Linked DNA regions of Schizosaccharomyces pombe. The protein of the gene in region 1 interacts with the protein of each later gene in a biochemical or structural test. Each region holds a gene or a part of one and is shown on either strand. Other genes may lie near its edges.

Region 1 (7,382 bases):
ACCGAAAGCCGTTGACCTGCCTCCAAACTATTCTTGTCCACATCTGTTGTCTTTTCAGTCTGTCGAATTTAATACTAATCCTACGGCTTGTGATGATGTGTTTTGTAAAAGAATTGAGTCCGAAAAGAAGTACAACGACTTTTTGGAATCTCTTTTCAAAAAATATGGACGCGACACTTCTGATATAGCTGATGAAGTAGATCTTGCAACTGGTGAAATTATTGTTAATAATGGACATCTAGAAGCTTTAAAAACAAAAGATGATATATGGGATCCTACATTTAACAACCTTGAAATCTCAGCGTCAAATGGATACGAAAAAAAATTAGACTCAAGCATTGGCAACCCAGGGGAAAAAGCTGTTTCACCAGTCCATATAGAGGATTTTCAGTCTCCCCAGATCTATAAATTTAAAAATCTATCACTTCGTGATGAAATGGTGTCAGATTGTGTGTTTGCAGATGAAGTTCCTTTAGCTTCACTTTTTGTGGAAAATGTTTGTAATGAAACTATACCCTCTCAGTCATGCGTGAGACTAAAAATCAATGATAAAACAAGAAAAGTTGATGCTTCAGCTTTGGAAAAAAAATCTTGTCTGTTGCCAAACTCATCAGGAACATTAACAGATCAGCGTGGTTTGGATACAATCAAGCATAAAAGCATAGAACAAAATGAGATTTTGCACGTCATCTCTGATACTTTATCTTCACCGAGAAGAAGGAACCCTTTATTATCATCTCCTAAAACTCCTTTACGTAGATCTTTTTCTAAGTCAAAAGTCCGAAACTCCAATTCTACAAAACGAAGAAACTTTATTTCATTAATTTCAATGATATCCCCTCGACCTAATCTTTCTACCCATCATTTTAATCTTGGTTTTCAACCTTTAAGTCAACAAACTTCGTTCTCAGGAAGTAGCACTCAGAACCCTCATTCTTCCAGCACTTGTAAAAAAGCATTTTGTTTCCAATGCATTTCTGAGTCAAAAAAATGTTGATTCAGCTTTAAACCACTTATTCTCCCATCTTCTTCGCTTGCCATACCATGGCTTTTAATGACCTATTTCTTCGAACATATATTTATTTTTTGTTTTCATTTACAACAAATTGTCTTTCGAGTTATCATGTTACATTCGAATATATATTTTTTTACTAATATATTAATCATTCGTTGAGTTTTTACGTGATCTATGCTTTTGTAGTATGGCAAATGAGTACACATAATTGTTCTCCACTCTTCATGTTATAAGTAAAAATCGTAGTCATAAAGATATCTAGCCGAAATATCCATTCAGTGTGTTGAACAAAGATTATCTTTAAATATCGCTTAATGAGTACAATATTTCAATTTATAACACATGTACCTGTTTAAATGACTACTTACACCACTACAAATTTCTGTCATTGTGAATCATTATGGAGTCGAGTGTAAAATGTATGTTAAATGCCGCATTACTAAAGCTTTATCTATAAACTAACAATTAAAGATGCGCAGGAGTTCGTCCAACGGTATTACTCATCTCTTGATACGAACAGAAATGGGATCGCAGAATTTTACAGAGAAAATAGTTTGATCTTATGGAATGGAAAACCCATGCAAGTAACCGAATTTACCTCTATGATAGTTAATCTTCCATACTCCAAAACTAAAGTTGAGGATTTCGATAGTCAACAGGTCATGGGTAATGATATGAATATCATAATTGTTGTTTCAGGAACAATACGTTTCGATGGAAAAAAACCTCATGTATTTTCGTATGTCAGTTTTTATTGTATTTACCTTCTTGTACTAAGATCCTCTACTAACTTCCTTTAAGAGACAATATAGTTCTACAACAGGAAGAATCAAAGTATTATATTGCCAGTCAAAATTTTAGAATTATGAGTGAATAATACGTATCCAAAACAAAGATTTCATTTCGTTTAGAGTTTGTATTAATTTGCCGCAGCAAGCTTATCTGAGCGACACATTCCCTAATCCCTCATACTTCTTTAGAACACAAAATTAACCACCACCTTACAAATATGAAATATTGGAAGTATTTGTCTCAGCTGACTATCAGAAGGCCTCTTACATACAACAATGCTCTTCTGTATAGGAATAGGTTTCCTAGTATATTAACATGGAAGAGAAGTGCGACTACGCAACCTGACGACACTATTTTCAAGGATCCAGTAATGGATGAGCAAGTCCAGAAACTTGAAGAGAAAATGAGTTCATTAGTTGTTAATGATCCGGAACTTGCTCAAAAGGTTGGCCGTCTTCGTCAGTTTTTTGAGAAATACGGCCTTGAAGCTGGTTCAAAACCGTCACCTCTTACTATCCTAAAGATTACTCGTGATCCGGAATTCAAGCAGTTAGCTGAAACTATCACGGAGATATTTAAAAAATCTGGAATTCAAAATGATCCTGCGTATGTTTTTTTGAATGTATTCCATTGATTGTGCGAACACTAACATATCTATAGATTTTTGGAACTTGTTCGAAGAAACCTTAAGAAAGAAAAGTAAAAATATGCCTCTGACATTTTTTTTATTCTTTGTTTGGCCTAATAACCATTACTTGTTCACTATTATGTGAAACTTACAATTGGAGGAATGACTAATGTTATTGATTTCATAAACGATTCACTATACATCACAACTACTTTCTTAATTAGTAGGAATTTTAAACAAGATGCTTTATCAAAATATCAGTAAACCCAATTAGCATTCAAAGCATAGATTTAAGGATTGCTCCTTTGGGACATCCATGTCCATAAAGCGGCATGCGGTACGTCAACCTCATTTGCTAGTTTTTGATAAATCTCTTCAGACGACGAAGGCTCGTACATAGCTAAAAACTCTAAGAGTGGCTTGTGTAAAGCAGGCAAATTTTTTCGGAGATTAGCTATGAGATTATCAAGTTTTGAAGGTCCTGATTTGTCAAGTACACTGTAAAAAAGTTAATGAAGAATGTAATTAATGGAAATGAGAGATACTTACCCACACAAATAATTCCAAGCACTCTGATTGTCAGGAGCAAAAAGGATTTTGTCTTTCAGATAATTCAGTTCCTCTTCCAAAGACCAAGAAACCACCTTGGAGGTTTCAAACAAAACATAAAATCTATGATTCCAAGCCGAATTGTTATAAATGTCTTTTTCCAATAATTCGTTGGTTAACTTCAGCTCTTGAGAATAATCATTAAAATTTTGCAAGATCCAAACTCGGTAGGACCAGACATGATAATTTTTACTGTCAATTTCAAACATCTTTTTCGTAAACTCAAGTTCACGCTCATAATTCTTAGTCAAAGAAAGTATTTTTTGCCTATGATGCCAAACCTGGTAGTTTTTTTGAAAATCTTCGGCAATTTCATCGAGCCATTCTAATTCATTGTCTATGTAACTGGGCGTGTGGTTTAGGATTTGAAATCTATAAGCCCATACTGTATAATGAGCTGGATTATTCATAATCAAGAAACCTGTTAAATTAAGTGCTCTCAAGGAGTACTCCTTTTTAGCCATAATGGCACGAAAATAAGCCATTCCTTGTTCATATCCTGTCGTGTAGCAAATTTTCGCTAATGGGTTTTCGCCATCATCCTGAGGAATGGGTGTTAATGGTCCATATTCTGTAAAATCCAAAATTTCATTTAACTCGGGATCAATGGGATCCATTTCATTAATTTGGCATCCGTTGTACAATTCTCAACTCAAAGAAACAAATACTTAAAGGCCGAAAATTTAATTATAAGTGTTTTATTAAAAAGGATTGTCAGGTTTTTCTAAATTATCAACTCGAAAAACAATGAGTCTCTTTGTTTAGTGCGTACTATTGTTCAGGTGTGATGGTGGGTTAACTAAGGAGAGTAAGTAGATGAATAGTGAGTTAGGATTACCATGTTTACAATATGTGATTTATTTCAAACTTTTATCATAGTCTTTTATTAATTTTATTGTAGGCAACGGAGTATATTCATAAAACTTCAAACGTACAGGTTATATGAGTATCACCGACCAATTCGTGGTATTTCAGTATTGCCTATTAATTAAACCGGTGTTATATTTTCAGTTTGAGCACAATAAAAAAAACATCAAGTACATCAAGTAATTGCAAAACCCATCTAATTTTAAGTAGAGTATGAAATGTTGTGAGTTTATAATAATACCTAATTCATGTCCTGTCCGGATAGATGCGCTTTGGTCGTACAAAACGAATGACTAGTGATTACAAATTGCCTATGAGAAATCTGTATCTTCAGCATCCTAGCGATTAAAACTGATGAGGATTAAAGAGATTCATGCAAATTATTTGAACACCTATATAAAGCATTGAAGGCTTCTGGTGAACAACACGATATAGAAAAATATATTGATATGCGTTTCAATGATTATTTTAGTTTAAAACGAGAACCTAATCACCAGAGTCATGAAATGTCATTTGTTAGTATCTCCAAAAAAATATATAGCAATGCCGAAGCAAATTATTTCTTTATAATCTCCTGATCTACTCAATTTTTAATTTCTTAAGTTGAAATCTGACATTCCGATTATTTACATATACTTACAATGAAATGTTGCAACAATAATAGCATTTAAAGCATTTTAATATTTTTTAATTGATCCAAACCTTCCATTAATATTCAGTAAATTAAATTAACATCTTAAAAAGGGTTCGAAGCTGCTTTGAAAAGTCATGTCAAATTTATATTACTACTTACTTTTCCCTTACAGAATATATGACCAACCAGAATTTGCGCTAATAAAAATTTAATTAAAAGTAATTAAAACGTGTCTTCTAAGAAAGCAATGACTTCTAAATGTTTTCGACTTTGCTGGATTTTTCTAGATGGTTAATTATGCTTGACTTCATGCACTAGACGAAATTTAGATTTAGCTCATAATGTGCAACCTTCACCAACATAGATGACTGAAATTTTATTGAATTGAAAAACTCAAAAATTAACTGATCTTTATTTGTCGGTGTTTTTTAATTCAATTTTGAGAACGGGTTTGTGGGTTTGTACTTACCGAAATAATTTAGAACTAAAGGAAGTTACTACGGCAGTCTGTATTACCTCTAGGTTTTAGACTAAAACATCATAACAGATTTATTTAGATTTTTTTCTCATTTCAAACATTATTTATTACTTTTTGTTGTCTTTACATTATTTTGTTTTTAATTTACTACTCGCATTTCGCCCATGAAGCGTCAAAGACCACAAGACTCTATGATATCTGTCCCGTTGCAAAATGAAAACAGTACGACCACTCCAACTAAAGAAGTTAGTCATTTAAACTTTCCTTTGAAACGACCGCGATTGCATTCTTTTGTCCCAACTTCCAAACAAGCCGCTTTATCAGACATAACTCCAGACACGCCTCCTGCCTTCAAAACTCCTTACAGTAGTTTGCCTTACAATTTGGTTCCCCAGAATTCTAGTACTAGCAAAAAAAGACCAAGGGCAGAAGACCTGTTGGTTATTGAGCCGTCTCAAAATAGCCTTGTTCCTAGTACACAAAATAATGAGTGGAACGAAATTGCTCGAAAGAGAGTATCTTTAGAGTCCGATCATCCTGACAAATCGGGTCAAGTTATTGACCTTGCAACAGGGCAAATACTCGACAAGCAAACAGAAGATATCGATGATGATCGAAACAAGAGTGCCGTATCAAAATCCCTCGTTAGACATCCTCATCGCTTGAAGATGCTTCCTTTTGGTATTCAATCCGCACATCCTTATATATCTTCCTTGAATTCTAATTACCCAACGACTTGGCATTTTGCTTCACATTACTATCCTACAGATAGTAAACAACTAGTGAAGTATCACCCTACAGAAGTCCATCCTTCATGGACGGTTGAAGAACCAGTACATTATAATACCTACGATGGAGTCGTCAATGAACCGAATAGTTCGGTCATTATTGAAGAGCTTGATGATGACTATGATGAACTTAATGATCCTATGAATAACAACGATACCCCCATTACTAATTCCACTCATTCTGCTCAAATGTCTAATCTACCTACTCATGATAGCATGGATATTGACATGGGAGGTGCTGTCCCTTCGACATCTACATAAGTAATATATCTTATGTTCCTGTTAACAATTTTGAGTCCTTTATTATTATTTTTTTTTTTGCATCCCAAGTTCCAAATCTCATATCAAAAACCGTATCCCAAATTATTATTTATGTCCCTAATATAACCAAAATCACATGTGATCAATCTAAAAAATCTAGCTAGAAAAACTGTCATCAATAAATTTTTGTTTCTTCTAAATTTCTTTTTAAATCTTGAACAAAATGATAAAATTAACAATTCACCCAACGCCCATTAATCCGTTTTTGTATGATTTGCACGGCTGGTAGATTCCACGAAGGTGATCCTGTTCCAATATTGGCACTTAGAATAGGAATAACCCAGCACTCTCGTTTTGTTGCATTATCCAGGTACCGAATTGGTGGATATGAAAGGGGTTTCGAGTAAGACAAAAGAGTAGTATTTTTAGCAAGTCTAGCCAAATGTTCTGGGCTGATTTCAGTTAAAGGAGACATGTAAACACGACCACTTCTGCTTTCATGTAGACTAAGATAGACAACATATTCAGAATCAATATTATAAGTTCTATCAGGTACGAATTGAACAACCTCGGAACCAGACGGGAAAAGTGTAACATATCCACGCTTCTCTTTATCATATAGAGCAACTTGATCAATATATGCAGAAGCAATAAATTGTCTGAGTGCTTTAATTTGTACACTAGTTGGAGGCTTAAGCTGTAACTTGAAAAATTCTTTTTCGACTCTAACCATATATCTTTTTAGTAGACCAATAATTTGCTTACGAAGATTGGTGACTTCTTCCAATGCTTTTTCTCGCAGATAATTCTCTTTACAAAACTTTCTCTTATCAGAAGCATAGTCATACGCACACACAGCACTTAACAAACTCAAGGCAGGCGCATCAGGGTCTATAGCTTGAAATCTCGATATTGCATTAAAGTATCCACGCATTCTATTTTTATATTCTTCCTTTTGCTTGATTTCGTCATCATCAATCAGATCAGTTTCTTCGCTACGAGAATTTTTGTCATGAGCATCATATAAAAGAGATTGCTTTGACACAAAAAGCTGGTTTATAGACAATGCTGAAACCAATGCAATAACATAAGGTAGGCAACCATGCTGCTGACCAATAATTAACATTTTCGAAAATCGAGGAGACAGAGGAAATAAGGACATTTGTTCTCCTAGTTTGGTAAGAACCCCTTCGCTATCAATAGCCCCTAGATTTGACAAGAGTTTTAACGATTTTTCAAGCCTACTACGACCTGGAGAAGTTGGAAAGGGGAAATTTGCAATGTTATCAATGTTCATGTTTTTCATTTGA
Region 2 (10,046 bases), 1.7 Mb from region 1:
TACGGTTTTAATTAAATGTTAGTACATCCTTATAAATGAATAATATATAAAATACTATAATCGTCTACTCTGAAACCCAAAATACTCATACAAGGTGAAAATTAGTATGTGTATAAGATGACATGCACCTGATAACCTACTCAACTCAAACTACTTATAAAATATCAGGAACCCCAGTTTAAAGCGCTTTACATAACTTTCTTTATAGGAGAGAGATATTCTTATGAAATGCTCACTCCATAGGCTTTAAAATGAGTAAAGATTTGATCAGTAGGTTGGAGCGACAATTCAAGTTGAAACGTGATGAGTTTCAAGACCCATTGGAACTTTTAAAATTTGAAAAGAATCTTGATTATGCAAGGAAATTATTATGGGAAGAAGGAAAATGCCAACTTGACAAAGTTGCTGAACCTCAAGGGCTTTCGAAGAGAATCATGGATTTACAGGGTAGGATTTATGATTTAAATGTTACCATGGAAAAAAAGCTGAAAATTGAAGAGAAAAAGATAAAAAGTAAACAAGAGAAGGAGATCGCGCATGCTCTTCAGAGTATTCAAGAAAGGGAGCTTAGAGAGCGACAACAGATGTCGAATGTCGAAGCTTCCAATGCCCAATTGCTCACAAACCAGCGTTCAATGCAAACTGAGATATCTGAGTCACTTTTGCATTTGGCATCTGTTCTAAAAGAAAACGCTTTATCTTTCACAAATGCTCTAGTAACTGATAATCAAGTGGTAGAGCGTACAGGAAGCTTACTCGACAAGAATGCCCACAGTCTGAGACATGCCAACCACGGTGTTCAAAGCTACTCTAAGTCAAAAAGGCTGTCTTTTTGGCTACAGTTAGGAATGATCATTGCTGTAGTTGTTTCTTTTATCGTGATGATCTTTATCCTACAGTTTACCAAAAATCAAAATTAATTATTTTATTTTCGTAAAGAATTCTCGGACTGCTTCCTTTTGTTGATAAATTTTTTTCCCCTTAAGTTATCGCAGTGGTAACAGTACACCCGTTTCTTTTTAATATACATTTTGATACACAACCATTATTGTTGTTTCAAGTTGTTTTCTTACTCGAACGTATTCATGTTTTTTTTGTATTTGAGATCAATGCGTAGATGATATAAGTAAATTGAATAACCAAAGCATACGCAATTTACCATTGTTTTATTTCATTTAACCTTTTTCCAACAGCTGAGTCAATATTAGCCCATTCCTTTATCAATTGACACTGCCCTCAACTCTTATGTTTTTAGTAAATAAGAAACAACATCATTACATTACAAAACTATTAAACTATCATAAAATACAACATATACCGCATGTTCAAAAATTATTATATTAGAGATCAAACTCTAGTTATTGAAGATTATTTACTTCATTCACTACTGTTCACACGAAAGCTGAACAATATTATTTTAGGCAACACGTAATTAAATCCGTTCGAATACAACAATGCATTTCCATCAAGTGAATACATCTCATTACTTTATGAAAATTATTTTTCTGAACCAAGAAAAAATAAGATTGCCTAGTCTTGTTGCTTAGACTTGCGCTTGGCAAGACGCTTGCCAGTACCAAAGACCTTCTTGCCTCTGTTCTTACGTTGCTTGCGTTGTTGACGAGCAACCTTTTGGATAGGCTCGGCATGTCCAACACGGACAAGACGATAATGGGGCTCAAACTTCTTCATGGCCTCGACGTCGTCGTAAATCAATGCAAAACCAGTGGTTCTTCCACCACCATAATGGGTACGAAGACCAAATGCCTGGACAGCACTTGCATCAGTCTTGTACATTTGACCCAATTTTTCACGAAGATCGTTTTTGGAAATGTTGGCCTTGCCAGGATGCAAAATGTCGACCACCTAAAACGCCCTCATGTTAGTATATGCCACGTCTGATCGTAAAGAACTTATAAGCAAAAAAATACATACCATTTGCTTCCTCTGAAGCAAGCGGTTGGTCATAAACTTGCGAGTTCTGATTGTAACCGCCTCACTCATATTGGTCTTAATACAACTATCTAGCGCCCACGAATTCCAAAATTTTACCCCAAAGAAGGCAGTCACAAGATGTGGTACAAAGAAAGAATAGTGAATACTTGAGTAACTACACAAACAACGGTATATTGCTTTAAGGAGATCAAAGGGACTTGTAAATATAATAGAAAATTATGTAGGTATTCCTTCACTTGTCTTAACGAGGATTAGTGCATCGTTGGCTTGACTGAATTTAGTCAATTAAGTCAGCTTGTCGAGTGCATAGAACTATAGGGGCATTGGCTCTTTTATAAGGAATTTTAAAGGATGGAGAAACTTGCTACTCCTTTTTTTTACTTAAATAAAAAGGAAACAAAGCATTCAGATTGGGTTGAGCCATTTACTACGTTCGTATCTCGAATATATGGAAATAGTGTTGATGTCGAAGATCAAATTAAGGCGTTCAACACTTTGAGAGAAAACGCAGCAGACGTCGATGACACAGTTGCTGGTAAGGATATTTTGTATTCTTATTACGGACAACTTGACTATTTGTCTTTCCGATTTCCCACTGGTGGTAATGGAATCAACATTTCTTTTGAGTGGAGCGATATCTTAGATCCCGATGCAGATTTCGTCAAGCAATCTTCTCTTGCCTTTGAAAAAGCATCGGTTTTATTCAATTTGGTTTCATTGCTTTCCCGAATGGCTGCTAATCATGCATCTGCTTACACTGTGGATGATTATAAGGCGGCCGCCAATTGTTTACAATGCGCTAGCGGTATTGCCAAACTCTTACGCGAATCTTTCATTCATGCACCTGGAAGAGATTTAGATTCCAATTTTTTACTAGGTATTTACAATCTTTTCTTGGGTCAAGCACAGGAGTGTGTCTTGGGACATATGTCTTTTTCAGCTAGTGACTCTAACATGAACTATTCGTTGGCTGCAAAGATTGCTAGTTCGGCAGCTACTTTATATGATAGCTGTGTACACGCATTTGAATCTATGGAACCGGCGTGCAATCCCAATTTCATACGGCTTGCTTCTGCCAAAAAGGCCGCCCTTGAGGGATTTTCCTCTTATTTTATGGCACGCGCTCAGTTGGAAAAATCGAAACAAGGGCTTGCTATTGGATATTTACAACAAGCTAAGTCAATTCTTTCGTCTGCTCAAAAGTTATTCAATGGTATAAAGTTGAGTACTGATTTTATTCATAAGCCTAGTCTTTCTGACTATCCTCAGACCATTTCTACCTTCATCAAATCCTCCTTGTCTCATTTGTTAAAAACTGCTGAGAAAGATAATGACTTTGTGTTTCATGATCTTGTAGTCAAGGAAGTTGAGCTCCCAAAAATATCTCCTTTGCAAGCTCTACCACCACTTCCTTTAGAGAAATTGTATGGAAGTCAAGATGGATTTGAAACTGCAAAAAAAATTGTTGGAGATGATTTGTTCAAGGCCTTTGTGCCTAGCGCCGTTACGACCGCCAGTTCGCTGTATTCAGAGGAGACTGCCAAAGTGTTTCGCGCTGAACAAGCTGAAGTAGAACGACAAAACACCCAAATGGCAACGGTTTTCGCCTCCTTAGACCTTAGCCGGCTTCAAGAAATCACACATTCGGATTCCAAAACGAACTTTATTCCGAAAGAACTTATAGAAGCTCGTTCCCAACTTATTTCTTTTAATCCTACTTTTAAAATTCACGAGTTGTTTGCAAAATCCACAAAGTTGAAGCAAATTATAGCGAAAATTAAGAGTGACTTAGAAGTGGAAGCCAATGAAAATGCCAAGATGAAGGCGAAACTTGGACCCTCGTGGACGTTATCAGATAGCTTAGAGTTTGCCGCTCCTTATCAAAGTGAACTCAACAATTACTTGAAGACCTTGGCAGAGGCTTCCGCTACTGATTCCGCTATATCCCAACAATATGCTTTAGTAAAAGATGATGTAGAAACGTTGTGTAACTCTTCCAAAATTAGCGCATTACTAGAATCGTCCATTTCCTCAACTGATAATTCTGGTCAAAGCTTACTTGATATTCCTATTGAGCAGGAGGAGCAAGAGCGCGATATGAAAATACAGCTTGACTTGTTAGAAGAATTGCAATCCAGAGTTCAAAAGTTAGTTCCTGAAAGGCAGACCACTTTACAGGCTTTACAGCAAAAGTGTTTGCAAGATGATATTTCTGAGTCTCTCATGCAAAATAGTAAGCGGAAGGACTCTGCACTCGATACCAATCAGCTTTTTGAACTAGAATTAAAGAAGTTTGACCCCTTGCGAAATAGATTACATGCATCTTATCGGCAACAGCAACTACTATTGAATGAGATGAGAAATGTTACACAAAAGTTGAAACAAAATCCGGAATTTTTGAGAAAGATGGAAGTATACAATAACCAATTTTCTAAAAATAAAGAGTTATGTTCTAATTTGCTTTCTTCTTCTCTTACGGCTAAAGCTATATCGGAAGGTGTATCTAAGGGCCTTGAATATTATAAAACTGTTGAACAGAGACTTGCCGAAATTAATAAGACCCTAGGAGAGCAATTACTTTTAAGAAGGAAACAGGGTGCCACATGTCTTTCAAAACTTTCATCTTCGAGCTCCTCTCATACAAGTATTTCCTCTAATATGCGAAACCTTCACATCTAGCGCCAAGTAACAATTTGGCTGTTACTTTAGGTTCTTTGTCTTCTAGTGTTTAAGTAAACCAGTCCAACAACTTTATAATTAATAAAGCTTTTTGGTGAGCGGACTCTTTCGTTAAAGTTAGTAAAGATGGATGAATTATCAGAAACGCAAGTTATGCAAAACGAAACGGCTACAGCTGTTCTTCCATTGCTGAACGGCGAGAGTCAATCGTTCAATTTGCAAAAGCATCTTAAGTATTTAACCAAAATGCTAGATCCTCTTCCTTCTCCCTTTACAGTATTGGATGCATCAAGGGCTTGGATGGTTTATTGGGAACTAAGTTCATTGGCAATTTTAGGCAAACTTGACAGCTCTGTTTGTGAACGGGCTATTAGCAGTGTGCGACAGTTGAAAGGGCCTAGTGGTGGTTTTTGTGGTGGGAATGGACAAGATGAACATTTATTGAGTACTTATGCTTCTATACTCAGTATATGTCTTTGTGACTCCACCGACGCATATTCCTTGATAGAGCGCGATCGTTTGTACGATTGGTTATTCTCTTTAAAAAATCCGGATGGTTCGTTTCGAGTTAATAATGAGGGAGAGTCGGATGCTCGATCCGTTTATGCAGCTGTATGTGTTTCTTCTTTAGTGGGAATCAGTATGGACGATCCTCTGTTTGAGGGTACCTTGCAATGGCTTTGCAAGTGCCAAACTTATGAGGGAGGTCTTTCAGGTGTCCCTTACGCCGAGGCTCATGGCGGATATACATTTTGTGCCCTTGCCGCAATTGCTTTGCTGGGAGGTCTTGACAATTTAAATGAAATAAAACTTAGCACTTGGCTTGTACAACGTCAAGATCCTGCTCTTTACGGATTTTCCGGTCGCTCTAACAAGCTAGTGGATGGTTGTTATAGTTGGTGGGTCGGTGCTAGCCATGTGATTGTGGCTTCAGGCTATGGTTCGGCTTCTCATAAAAGCCTGCCTAACCTTTTTTATAATCCAGAAAAATTATTAGGATATATTCTTCAATGTTGCCAGAGTACAAGCGGCGGTTTACGTGACAAACCACCAAAACGGCCTGATCAATATCATACTTGTTATTGTCTATTAGGGTTATCATCAATTGCTTATGACTACAGATATCACACTTCTGATGGTTGGTCCTATAAACCTTCCATCTTACACTCCTCTTTAAGCTCTTTATTACCGGCTCATCCAATTTACTGTGTTCCTTTTGGTTTTGAAGAAAGAATTAAATCATATTTTCTGTCACAAGAATCATCAAAATTCTAATGGTTTATTTATGAGTTGTCTATGGACTTTAATTTTTCATGAGAGGATTTTTTTTATTATTTTAACGGTTTATGTCCCGAGTTTAATATCATGCCTATTTTACTTCTCTATCAGGTATTTACTTCGTCATTTTTACACATGTTGAATAAATAATAATTCTTGACTTATTTGTTATCTTTAAAATCATTAATGTCATTAGAATAATCCTTACTAAAGGAAATAAACCATAGCCTTTTACTTATATAGGCAATCGTGGTCCCAATAGAGATCTGCATATAATGGTAACAAATCAGTCATAGAATGCTTTCCGTCAGGTCTCGTAAAGTAAAGCTCCCAATCGTCAGGTGAATATAAAGGCTTATCTGCAATTTTATTTAAAATGTCGTCTAAGCGTGGAATAACAAATGATGGAGCAACAACGTCAACAACTTGCTTATCGTCTCCAGAAAAAGAATCATCAAATCCAACTTGCGAGCAAATAAACCGCAGCGGTTCATAATGAGGAGTTGTAAGATGAGCAGTGTCATCTCCGTCATCTCCTAAATCATCGTGTGTAGTGTATCCATATGTCTTGCGAATGGAGTGTTCATAAAAGTCCTCAAATTTTGCATCAGAAACTTGTGGAGTGTTAATTTGAAGAGTATCTTCAGCAATCAGATATCCACTGTGTTGTAGAGCTTGTGGCAGGTACTTAGTAATCGACCATGGGACATCTTTCAAAACATAGAATATATTACTTTTAAAAGGACAGACTTGAAAGACCTCGTCTAAGCCAAAGGCACCTGAATTTAGACCACCTCGAATGCCACCCGAATTTACAATAATATAGTGAGGAATGTGATGTCGAGACTCATTGACGACTATTTTTGGAAAAAGTTCGGATTGAAATAGATGATAAATTGAGTTTGAATCGTTAAATGGAACTTCTGAAAATGCAAACTTTTTTGGGGAACAACCTATAGGAGTAAGTAAGCCAAGTGCCTTCCGAGCTTCGTAAATGCCATTAGAAATAAATTCTCCAAGTGAGGTATTGAAAGAAGACTTTTTTGTTTTCGAATGAAACATAAAGCCCTCGGGATTCCAATCAATATAGGAACGAGAGAAGCTGACACTGGCAGATTTAGCACTTTGCAAAGAGGAAAATATCTGCTGAGATGACCGTCTAATACTTTCGCCTATAAATCTCAAGCGCTCAGCTAGATAAGATTCCACCCCCATTAAAGAAGAAATCCCAGATAACTTGACCAACGATTTGAAGGATGGAATGCCGTTAATTGAGACCCAACCAACTGTTTCGCAATATCTTCCTGACTCAATTCCCACTGCTTTTTCATCGTAAATGGCATAATCTCTAATATGGGAATGACCACCAAGTACTTGTATTGGAGTGGTAGGGAAGTGAATCCGAAGCTCTGAAAGAACGATATCAAGCTCTGAGGCATTGTGAACGGGTACATGAGCGGGAATCAGAATCAGATCGATGTCTTTATTTGATACCATATCGTTCCACCATGGCTGTAGCGAGAATTGCGAAACTGGGAGGACACGAACCGTATCAGTAGCACCAGAAAATGAGTTTACAAATCCAAACGCAAGGATTTTAACATTGTGGGGTGTAGAAAAGATGGCATATCGATCTCCAAAGGGTACAAAAGAAGAAACATGTTCATCATATATGTCAATGTTTGCAGCTAAATATCGGCCTTCCCACAGAGGAATGAAATTATGATAAGTATCATTTGCAACAGTTGAGAGATAAAGCTCATGATTTCCAGCAACAAGAATATCATAATCCATATTTGCAAGTAATGAATCTGTCCAACTACCAGGGGGATCTGTCAGATCTGACAGGCCCGTACCATCATGAAGATCGCCGGTATCTACTAGCAGTAAATCAACGTCTTTTTGTTTTGCCAAGTGCTTCATATGTTGAACAAAAGAAGCGAAATCTCCTAAATCTCCTGAATAACGTTTATCTCGCGCATGTCCTGCTAACCAGCCATGGATGTCAGTAGTGTGTAAAATATTGACTTGACCCCATGTCAATTCCCGACGAATTGCCAAGGGCAAAGTTGCTGAATAGCAAGGATTGATAACAAATAAAAGAGAGAAAATTAATGAAAATGTATGGGCAGGTTTCATAATAAATATTGGTTCCCAGTATATAGGGTAAGTGCAGAATCGCCAAGATAAGAAGATCAAGTACCAAGTCACAAGCAGCAAATAGTAGCCAGCCAAACCTTCGTAATATGACAATCATTGCTTCCATCAAAAGTCATGGGAGTTTTAAAAAAGAATTCGTAGTCGCCTATTTTTTTTAATCAAAAATTTCTAAATGAAAATTGCGACGTCTGCAAAACGAGCACGCAAATGCAAGATTTTGAGATCGTCAAATGATTAAAAAGCTTTAGTGAAACACTACACTTATGTTATGCCTTTAACTTCCGGTTGGGCATAAGTATTTAGTAAAAGAAAAGAAGAATTGTAAATTGACAATGTGTGGGGAATTGGTTTGACGAACGATAATAGATAATATTATGCAATATTGTAAGTAATATTTATAACCTTATCACAGAGAAAAACGCTTTTAACCAGAAGTATTCCTTCCGAAAAACGTATATTGTCTTTATTCACCAGAGAAGAGTGCAAAAACAAAATATTGTCATTGTTGCTCAAGAAAATGATTAAGCAAGAAAAATTGGTTTTATAGTAATGCAAAAAAATTTGAAAAGGAAAAAATCATTTTTTCCATTCATGAAAATAAATAAAACCATTGAATCTGGCATTAGCATTGTCTCTTAAAAGAATTGGGATCCCGCAACGATGTATTCGTAATACCATAAATATGTATGAATTGCAATACGAGGAAAAGCCAGATTTTTTGTAGAATTTAAAACATAAAAAAAAGAGTAAAAACCAGGGTAAATATTGCAAAGGAGTATGTATCAATTTGCGTTTCCGTTAAAAGAAGGAGCATTCTATTTCTTTCATGAAGACTGCGTTTGCCAGTATCAATAACACTCTAAGCTTACTTTGTTTAAAGAACTTTTTAAAGATAAACAGCAGCCATTAACAGGGTTTTTTTTCCTCCATCAAGCTTGAAGAAATAAACTCATATACCGATTTAAAATAATAATATAAAAAATAAATATTGAATGGGACGGGACTCGAACCCGCGAGCTTTCGCACTGGCGTGCAATGCGTTGAACGCACCTAAAGCCAGCTCCATAACCACTCGGACACCCATCCTTTCTGTAACATACTAACGATTATGTACATAATATAGCAAGGATTAATAGAGCTCAAAATAAAAATAAAAGGTAATAAAAGAATGGATATGTTGTAATGATTAAATACAACTTCGGTTATTCTTTCATTCAGTATGGTTAACTGATTTAAAATGTCCAAACGATATGTTTCGTACAATACATGACGAAAATTTAAGAAGGAGAAGAAACTCATATTCCACTTCAAACGAAATATCAGGTCATTAATAAAGAGGGTTATACAAAAGAGGAAAATTTAATTTCACATTTTTTCTTTCTTCTATTTGAAACCTGCTTTTCCGCCAATTCATCTAGTCATGGTTTGTATCGGTCAACTTATAGTGACATTTGGTATGGAACAAATGAATGATTTGTGTAAATTTTATGGCGATTAAAGAAACTTCCGCTAAACATTCTATTTCCATTCATTCTACTTAATTAATTAATTTATCCCATCAAACGATATTTTGAAGCCACAAAACTAGGGGCATTCTTTATTGCACCACCTGTGCAAAAAGTCGTCTTATTCACTCATCATTCATATTAAAAGGAAAACGTTTCCTATCATTCCCCAAGTTAGAAAATTAGCATAGTTCATAGAAATGTAATCAAAAATTCAAAAAAAAGCCTTAATGCTGTGAGCCTTCTACGCATTCATACTAGTGATGGAACAGTAACGTTTAGTTTCATGCTTTTTTCGTCGTCAACTTCATATCAGTGCTCAGGTCAACGCTAATAGTTCAATGCTTTAAGTCATGTCAATTTAAGAGGCTTTAAAAAAAAATATCAGAAATTTTTCTTCCACGGTGTCCGAAAAAATCTAAAGGAAAATTTTTATCGAGTAATATGAGAGTAAAGTCTTACGCAGTT
Region 3 (7,674 bases), 1.5 Mb from region 1:
GAATGTTCAGTCAGAAAATGAACATAATTTTACTTAATGAATTAGCTATATTTTTACGTATTCGCTTATCAAGATCTAAAAACCGATCTTGAATTAGCAAAGAAGCAGTAGTTGGCAGAGGTTAGCGAATCCATGCCAGTAATACAAAAGTGCATTCTTGTGAATCAACCCTAACCATCAAACAAAACATCTAAATCGAAGTTTGTAAAAATATCTAAAATTAAATTTTCTTTTTTTACTTATTCGTACAATAAGAGCTTCTCAACCTTTGGTCTACGTATGTTTGTTTGTCTATGTAGATTCCTCAGATGTCAATCTAAAAATTCCCAAATATTCTCAATCCTGAACTTCTGGGTAGACATTATATAACCTATGAATTAAACAAAAGTGCTTGTTGATTTTCAATTATGACCATCGCATTCTAAAATCTACAGGTTCGAAGCTCGAAATAATCATTAAAACTTAAGCATTTTTTAAAGATGTACTTATTCTATAATCCATTTAGTGACTTAAACTTGAAGCATTGGTAGAAGAATAAGGCTGCTCACCTACGTGTTTATGTGTAAATTGATTTAACTATGTTGATTGCATGCTCAAAACACTCCTTCTGAAAAAGAACTATTTACAAATACGTATATATAGTCCTTGGGAAAAAATATAACATTTTTATCGTTTCTTCCAGCTTACACCTACAATGTTAAGTAGGGTATCAGTGCTGATTAAAAGCTGAAACCTCGATACGTTTTATCAACTTCTTGTTTCCCGTAAAGAAAATGCTCAAAGTTTAAGTAGATGATCGTAGAAAAACTTATAAAGGAATGAGTGAAGAAAAGCATCCTGTGGATTTGCACAGCATTAAGTCTAACGGCTTACAGTGAATTTTGTATTCATAAAAAGTAGGCACTTGGTGGAAAATCACAATATACCCGCTGGATTCTCATAAGTAGTCAATAAACAATGTAACCCAGCAAAGCTTGACACGATACAGAATGACCAAAACAACCGTCCTACTGGAGCGAGAAACATAATAACGATCAGAGTGACAGCACAAACACCAGGGATGGAATACTTGGGATCTAATCTTATATTTTGATTAATGGTCAAGCTTCCCAAGCCATGCATAACAAAACTTAGAAAAACACCAACCATTAGAGCTAACAAAGCAAATGGGTACCAGATGAAGAAATAAAGCCAGCAAATACAAAGCAAAGTTCCATAGAATCTATAATTGTCTTGAAAATTCTTTTGTATTCTGGGTTTAACAGCATACATACGAGGTAAAGAGACCTTTCCCATTCGTACATATTCATCTTGCGCTGCTACCGCAACATATGTTTTATGAGTGGATATGGAATTCTGGTGCAATGAACATAGCACTCGGTGTAATTTATTTTCTAACTTCATCATCAGGAAGATTGATGTGTGGAAATGGGAAACGTTTTGGCTCCTCCAGTAATGGCGCCCATCGATGGTTTGTTTACATTCTCTAATCGCTACCGTAAACAACTTTTCGTAGATTCAATTCACATTAATCAAAATCATATGAAAAAACATAAGGTAAATATAATAGTATGGTCGCAAACAAAATTTGTTCAAAATAATTTGAAACCATTTACTCTTCAAGGATAACTAGTCCACCGGTGCCTAATTGCAGGTATTCGAAATGCAAAACAAAAATTAGAAATTTCAGAGAAATATGAACAAAAAAATAATTAAGAGAGAATTACAAGCTGTACTGGCGTCGCCGGATCTGGTTCCTATTTGCCCATCACCACCAACGCTTTCATAGTCTGTATCTAGAAATAAAACACGAGAAACGTGTTAGCATAATAATTTTTCTGTTAAAACATAGCTACGCTAGTGCCATTTCCCGTCAATGTTAAGTTCTTTCAAAAAATCGTTCCATAAAATTTCTTGAGCAACTTTGGTTGTACCTTTCCTCACACAAGAGAGCGTAATTTCATAGACGGAAATAAAAAAAAGAAAAAAAATAATAAAATTATAAATACCCTTAAAATCGTAATTTTTTTCTTACCCAACCTTGTTTTAATACCAGCCTTCGAAAGATAAAAATACTGATACTTCGTTATTCAGCGTTTGTTTAAATAGGTTAGCGAACGCGTATCACCCAAGAACCTAACCTTCGGGTTGCAAAATAGAGCGGAAATGAGCAGAATTTTTATTTTACTGCTTTTATTTGGAGTCTGCTTAGCGTGGACCTCTTCCGACCTTGAAATTTTTCGAGTTGTTGATTCTTTAAAGTCAATTTTGAAGAATAAGGCCACGTTTTATGAGCTACTCGAAGTGCCTACAAAAGCCTCTATTAAAGAAATCAATAGAGCGTACAGAAAGAAGAGCATCCTTTATCATCCAGATAAGAATCCAAAAAGTAAAGAATTGTATACGCTTTTAGGGCTGATCGTAAACATTCTTCGCAACACTGAAACGCGTAAACGTTATGACTATTTCCTTAAAAATGGATTTCCAAGATGGAAGGGAACGGGTTATCTTTATTCAAGATATCGCCCTGGTTTAGGTGCTGTGCTCGTCTTGTTGTTTCTTCTCATTTCCATCGCACACTTCGTTATGCTCGTAATCAGTTCAAAGCGGCAAAAGAAAATCATGCAGGATCATATAGACATTGCTAGACAACACGAGTCTTATGCAACTTCCGCCAGAGGTTCAAAGCGTATTGTACAAGTACCCGGTGGAAGGCGTATATATACAGTCGATTCCATAACTGGTCAAGTGTGTATTTTGGATCCCAGTTCCAATATAGAATATCTAGTTTCACCAGATTCCGTTGCAAGCGTTAAAATATCTGACACCTTTTTCTACCGTCTTCCCCGATTTATAGTTTGGAACGCCTTTGGACGCTGGTTTGCAAGAGCACCTGCATCGTCCGAAGATACGGATAGTGATGGACAGATGGAAGATGAAGAGAAAAGTGATAGTGTCCATAAATCTAGCTTCTCCAGTCCTTCGAAGAAAGAGGCTTCCATAAAAGCCGGAAAGCGACGAATGAAAAGACGAGCAAATCGAATTCCACTTTCTAAAAACACGAATAGAGAAAATTAAAGTTACTGAGTCAAATTTATATTGTTAGAGTGTCTTTAGGTTTTTATAGTCAAGTGATTGATCACGTTGTTTCTAAGTTAATAGTCTATTGTTTAGTTTTCTTCGACAATTCATCATCATAATATAGTTATCATTTCCCCTTGGCTGCTTGAATACAGTCTCTACAAATGTTTATATACTTGGAAGTCATATGTATATCTGCATTTACTTTAGGAAAAGACTTATCATCTTGATAAGCCATTGCATATAGACCAAGTGCAGAATGTAAAACATCAGGAAACTCACCTGGTGTTTTAGAAAATCCGCCCAAAGCATGTTGAGCATGCAATAATAAATATTTTTCCAACTCACCCCCATCGATAAAAGGCAGAGCATCAAGGAGTTTTAATGAACTCAAAACCCAATAAGCATAACAGGTGTCAACGTCTTTATTCGTCCTTCCGTTTAATCCTCCAGATGATAATTGTCTAGAAGCTAACCATCTGATAAGGCGTTCTACTTTAGGCACACAATCCATTAAGTTATATGATTGATTAGAAGTATTCAAAGAGGAATTTGGAATCATTTTCAATATTAAAGACCATGATGCTAACGCGCAAAATGTAGCTCCAGCATGGGCTTCGCCGTATGGTAACAAAGAAAATCCGCCTTCATAGCGTTGACAGCTTTTAATATATTGGATAGAACATAAAGGGTCAGACAGAGAGAAATCAAGAAGCGAAGCAATAGTCGTAGCCATATATAACTGTCGCATGTCTTGGTCCGAACATGATGGCACAGCAATACTTCTAAAATGACCCTGCGAAGTTTTGCACAACTCCACAAAATTCTTAATTAAATCGCGGTCGATACGAGAAAGATTATCGCCAAGAAATAAAAGGCAACAAATTGAAAACACAGTCCCAGCTAATTGCGGCTCCTGTTCGAATGAGATGGGTTGAATGCCAGTTCTATACGCCTGAAAACCGGAGTATTTGATTCCTTTAGATTCTTTCGTTACATAGTTTTTGTAGATCCACTCGATCCAACTTTTTTTATCGTCATCATCTATGGTGTTCAATGCATTTAGCAAGTCTAATCCTAATAAACAAAAGAATGCTAACACTGTTCTTTCGCAATCGTGTTCTTCGTATGGAGTAGGAAATAGTATAAGATGTCTCTTAAAGAAAGCAATATGTTTAGCTCTTGTTAATTCCATTGGACCATAAATAGATGCGCCGATAGCAGAATTCTATAGATGTCAATAGAATAGTAAGTCTTAAAAATCTATCGAACAAAATTGGTACAAGAACGATAATTATTTTAAGCTTAAAAACAAAAAAACGCGACAAGGTATTTTGATTTATAGTAATGAGCAGATATATTTCTGTAATGATTTGTTCATGAAAAGAAATTCGGTGAATTAGCTCGGTAAACTTCGGAAATTTCTTGTATGGATCACCGGACTTTTTGTGGAGTATGCTCGGAGAATAAAATTAAGTCACCGGCAGTATACCATATAGGTGTTTGAAGATACAGAAATTTACGAACCGTTGGTACCCTTAGAGAAAGCATGTCTGATCCTTTCTTTACACGTCCAGAGCATAGAAAGAGGAAAGCTAGGAGTGCTACTTCAAAAAGAGAAAAAGAGAATCAAAAATTGGAGAGGAATGGACCCGCTAATGAAGATTTAGCATCTATATCATCAGAATCCGAATTCAATGGCTTTGAGGACGAAATTGATGAGGAAAATGAAGATACTTATGAGACTGCAGCAGAAAAAAGGCTTCGATTAGCAAGGGAGTATCTAGACGAGGTCAAGAACGAACTGGTCGAAGATGGAGGTTTCGATGCGAAAGAAGTGGATCGTGAATTGCTTGCAAGTCGATTGAAGGAGGACGTATTAGAAAAGAAGGGACAAATGTATTTAGACTATACTTCTAAAATTAATCCTGATGTAAAAATCGAAACAGCTCAGCTGCGAGGCCGTCACATGCGTCCGCTAGTTGGAGTGGTAGCATACGAAAATTTTGTTTATAGTGCTGATAAATCGGGTTTGATCCAAAAATGGGAAGCTTTGCAAGAAAAAGATACTGAAAATAGGGAAAATGACGATCATGAAATTGGGAAAGCTATAAAATTGCACTTCAGACCGATCAAATTCTCTCGCAGCCGAAGAGGAGAGAACGATCATGTAAAAGAAATCACTTGCCTAGCAATTAGCAACGATGGTCGTTGGATCGTTACTGGAGGTTTGGACCATCGAATTGTCATTCGTGATAGTGTGACACTTGAGCCTCAACATTGTTGGAAACATCATCGGGACGCAGTAATGGGATTAGCCATGCGAAGAGGAACCAATGAAATGTTTAGTTGTTCCGCTGATCGATCCATCAAGGTATGGTCTTTGGATCAAATGTCTTATATTGAAACGCTATTTGGACATCAGGATGTTATTTTTGGAGTGGATGCATTAGCTCGGGAAAGATGTGTCAGTGTAGGTGGTAGAGATCGGACATCGCGTCTGTGGAAAATTGTTGAGGAGTCTCAACTGGTATTTCGTAGTGGAGGTACTTCTATGAAAGCAACTGCAGGCTATATGGAAGGTAGTGTGGATTGTGTGGCAATGATTGATGAAGACCATTTCGTTACTGGAAGCGATAATGGAGTTATTGCACTTTGGTCTGTTCAACGTAAGAAGCCTCTTTTTACATACCCACTTGCTCATGGACTAGATCCCATTCTAGCTCCTGGGCGTCATTCCGCTGAGACGTCTCCAGATCCTGTCACTATACCTCCTCAACCTCGATGGATCACTAGTTTGGCTGCTATCCCATACTCCAATCTATTTGCTTCTGGTTCTTGGGACGGAAACATCCGTTTATGGAAGATAGCGGAAGGCCTTCGTTCTTTTGAACCTTTAACAATCGCTACTCCGTTGTCAGTTTATGGCTGCATCAATTCCCTTTCACTTTCTTTGCAAGGAAAAGGTAAACAATCAGAGGTAAGAGTATTCGCTGCTTGCGGAAGAGAAACTCGCGTTGGTCGTTGGAAAACCTTGCGGGGCATCCCTAATTCAGGCTTCGTGTTTAATATCCCTTTAACGGTTATTCCTTCTGTTACAGATGGTGACGAGATTGATGAGTAGTAAAGTTGCAAAATAAAAGAACTTAGCTTTTCATTATTTTTCATATAAGCGGTTATGAAGCAGATGTGATGGATCTCTTATTACTGTGTTTATCTTTTCCTGGTGTACAAAAAATTTTAATTCATGGAACGGAATTTTGGGTTGGATTTAATTTAAAAGTTTAGATAAAATACGGATTTATTAGGAAAAAATATACAAAAATGAAATTGATTATTAAAACGAACAATGATGAACCATGTCTTTCAATTCGGGCTTTTCTATTTGGGTTCTTTAAATGTTTTATAAATTGAAAAAAGAAAAAGAAGGATGAAATAGTTTGTAATAAACGAATGAACTTTCTTCTTCATCAAATGCCGTGCATTGAAATGGTGCATAATGAAATTATTGAAGCAAAATGAAAATATCAAAATCGTTAAACCGAAGTTTTGTTTATGAGTATTGTTAAAATCCTATTAAGTTTTACTAGTTCTTGCTATCACTTTGTTTACCTCTTGCCCCAAATTGTCCTCAATATTACTTGTCTTAATAATGGTAATCAAAAGCCCTTTTTTTAGTTTTTAGTATCTTATAGATTCTTTAATGGAGTATAGACCTTTTAAAAAAGTCGTTCTTTGGAATTCTCCTAGACTCGTCAAAAATGAAATACATGTATCTTTGCATGAAAAGTTGATGGACTTAGCAAAAAGCGCATATTGGCATAATACTCTATTTTTTAATTTGGAATGAATTTTCTTTAACAAATGACAGAACCTAGAATCGTAAATATTTAAGATTCCTAGGTTGTTTCCACTTTATAACTTCGACTGTACTTTCTTGACAAACCAAAAAACGGTTTTTTAATATACTAATATCACTAAATGGTACTTATTTGCTCCCGCAACTACGGTTATCTTTGGTTTTCCAAATCCCGTTACCGTGACACTTTGCAGATATGGTGGTAATATATTTTAATAAAGATATAAACACCATGACTACTATGAATCACGAGATGCGGTAGCCGTTAAATCAATGTTTTTATACAGAAACTTTGTCAAACGAAACTATTGATCCGTCGAACATGCGGTCTTTTTGTGCAGTATTACTTAACACAACTTTTCACAGTAGCCGTTATCTATCTATGTAGAATTCTCCTAATATAACTTGACGTTTTTATCTCAGGCGCTTAGATAACATGTGCTTATTTTCTTCATCTTTGCAGCTAGCTACACTGTATATATATGGGTCTTCATCGGAGTTTCGACAGACATTCACATAAATGGAGAGGCAAATCAATTACTAGCAAGCGAACAAATTAACAGTTTAAGTAATCAAATTGTACAATGTTTTCAAGTAATTTCCGGTAAAATGCTTACATTGATTTTTATTTTAATGGAAACACTTTGGAATACGTTATGTGCATTAAGCTACTACGCTACAATACCTTTATAATGTATAATGAATTTTTAACGTTGCAAAAGGGATTTCCTTTG

What was found.
Region 2: the proteins of cwp1 (region 1) and cpp1 form a complex in vitro, tested with the Schizosaccharomyces pombe proteins (one study listed by BioGRID).
Region 3: the proteins of cwp1 (region 1) and cwg2 form a complex in vitro, tested with the Schizosaccharomyces pombe proteins (one study listed by BioGRID).

Annotation. Positions count from the first base shown.
Region 1 is NC_003424.3:1,861,948-1,869,329, forward strand, and holds cwp1 (geranylgeranyltransferase type 1 alpha subunit Cwp1), read right to left. Parts: upstream 3,825-7,382; 5' UTR 3,662-3,824; coding exon 2,985-3,661; intron 2,934-2,984; coding exon 2,726-2,933; 3' UTR 2,604-2,725; downstream 1-2,603. Other genes in the region: CENP-A histone chaperone Scm3, read left to right, coding at 1-997; mRNA export receptor Nxt1, read left to right, coding at 1,416-1,434, 1,487-1,815; protein dpc13, read left to right, coding at 2,025-2,413, 2,468-2,510; SPOM_SPAPB1A10.05 (uncharacterized protein), read left to right, coding at 5,188-6,072; dhx37 (ATP-dependent RNA helicase Dhr1), read right to left, coding at 6,305-7,382. UniProt on the Schizosaccharomyces pombe protein: Catalyzes the transfer of a farnesyl or geranyl-geranyl moiety from farnesyl or geranyl-geranyl diphosphate to a cysteine at the fourth position from the C-terminus of several proteins having the C-terminal sequence Cys-aliphatic-aliphatic-X.
Region 2 is NC_003424.3:3,591,061-3,601,106, reverse strand, and holds cpp1 (protein farnesyltransferase beta subunit Cpp1), read left to right. Parts: upstream 1-4,700; 5' UTR 4,701-4,761; coding exon 4,762-5,910; 3' UTR 5,911-6,144; coding exon of another isoform or gene 6,145-8,052; 3' UTR 8,053-8,113; downstream 8,114-10,046. Other genes in the region: SNARE protein Use1, read left to right, coding at 252-920; rps2401 (40S ribosomal protein eS24), read right to left, coding at 1,531-1,866, 1,936-2,004; bro1 (vacuolar protein-sorting protein), read left to right, coding at 2,308-4,635; SPOM_SPAC17G6.03 (phosphoprotein phosphatase), read right to left, coding at 6,145-8,052. UniProt on the Schizosaccharomyces pombe protein: Catalyzes the transfer of a farnesyl moiety from farnesyl diphosphate to a cysteine at the fourth position from the C-terminus of several proteins. The beta(cpp1) subunit is responsible for peptide-binding.
Region 3 is NC_003424.3:3,324,732-3,332,405, forward strand, and holds cwg2 (geranylgeranyltransferase type 1 beta subunit Cwg2), read right to left. Parts: upstream 4,435-7,674; 5' UTR 4,277-4,434; coding exon 3,209-4,276; downstream 1-3,208. Other genes in the region: mug109 (Rab GTPase binding protein upregulated in meiosis II), read right to left, coding at 916-1,407; DNAJ domain-containing protein Erj5, read left to right, coding at 2,167-3,078; U3 snoRNP-associated protein Rrp9, read left to right, coding at 4,631-6,205.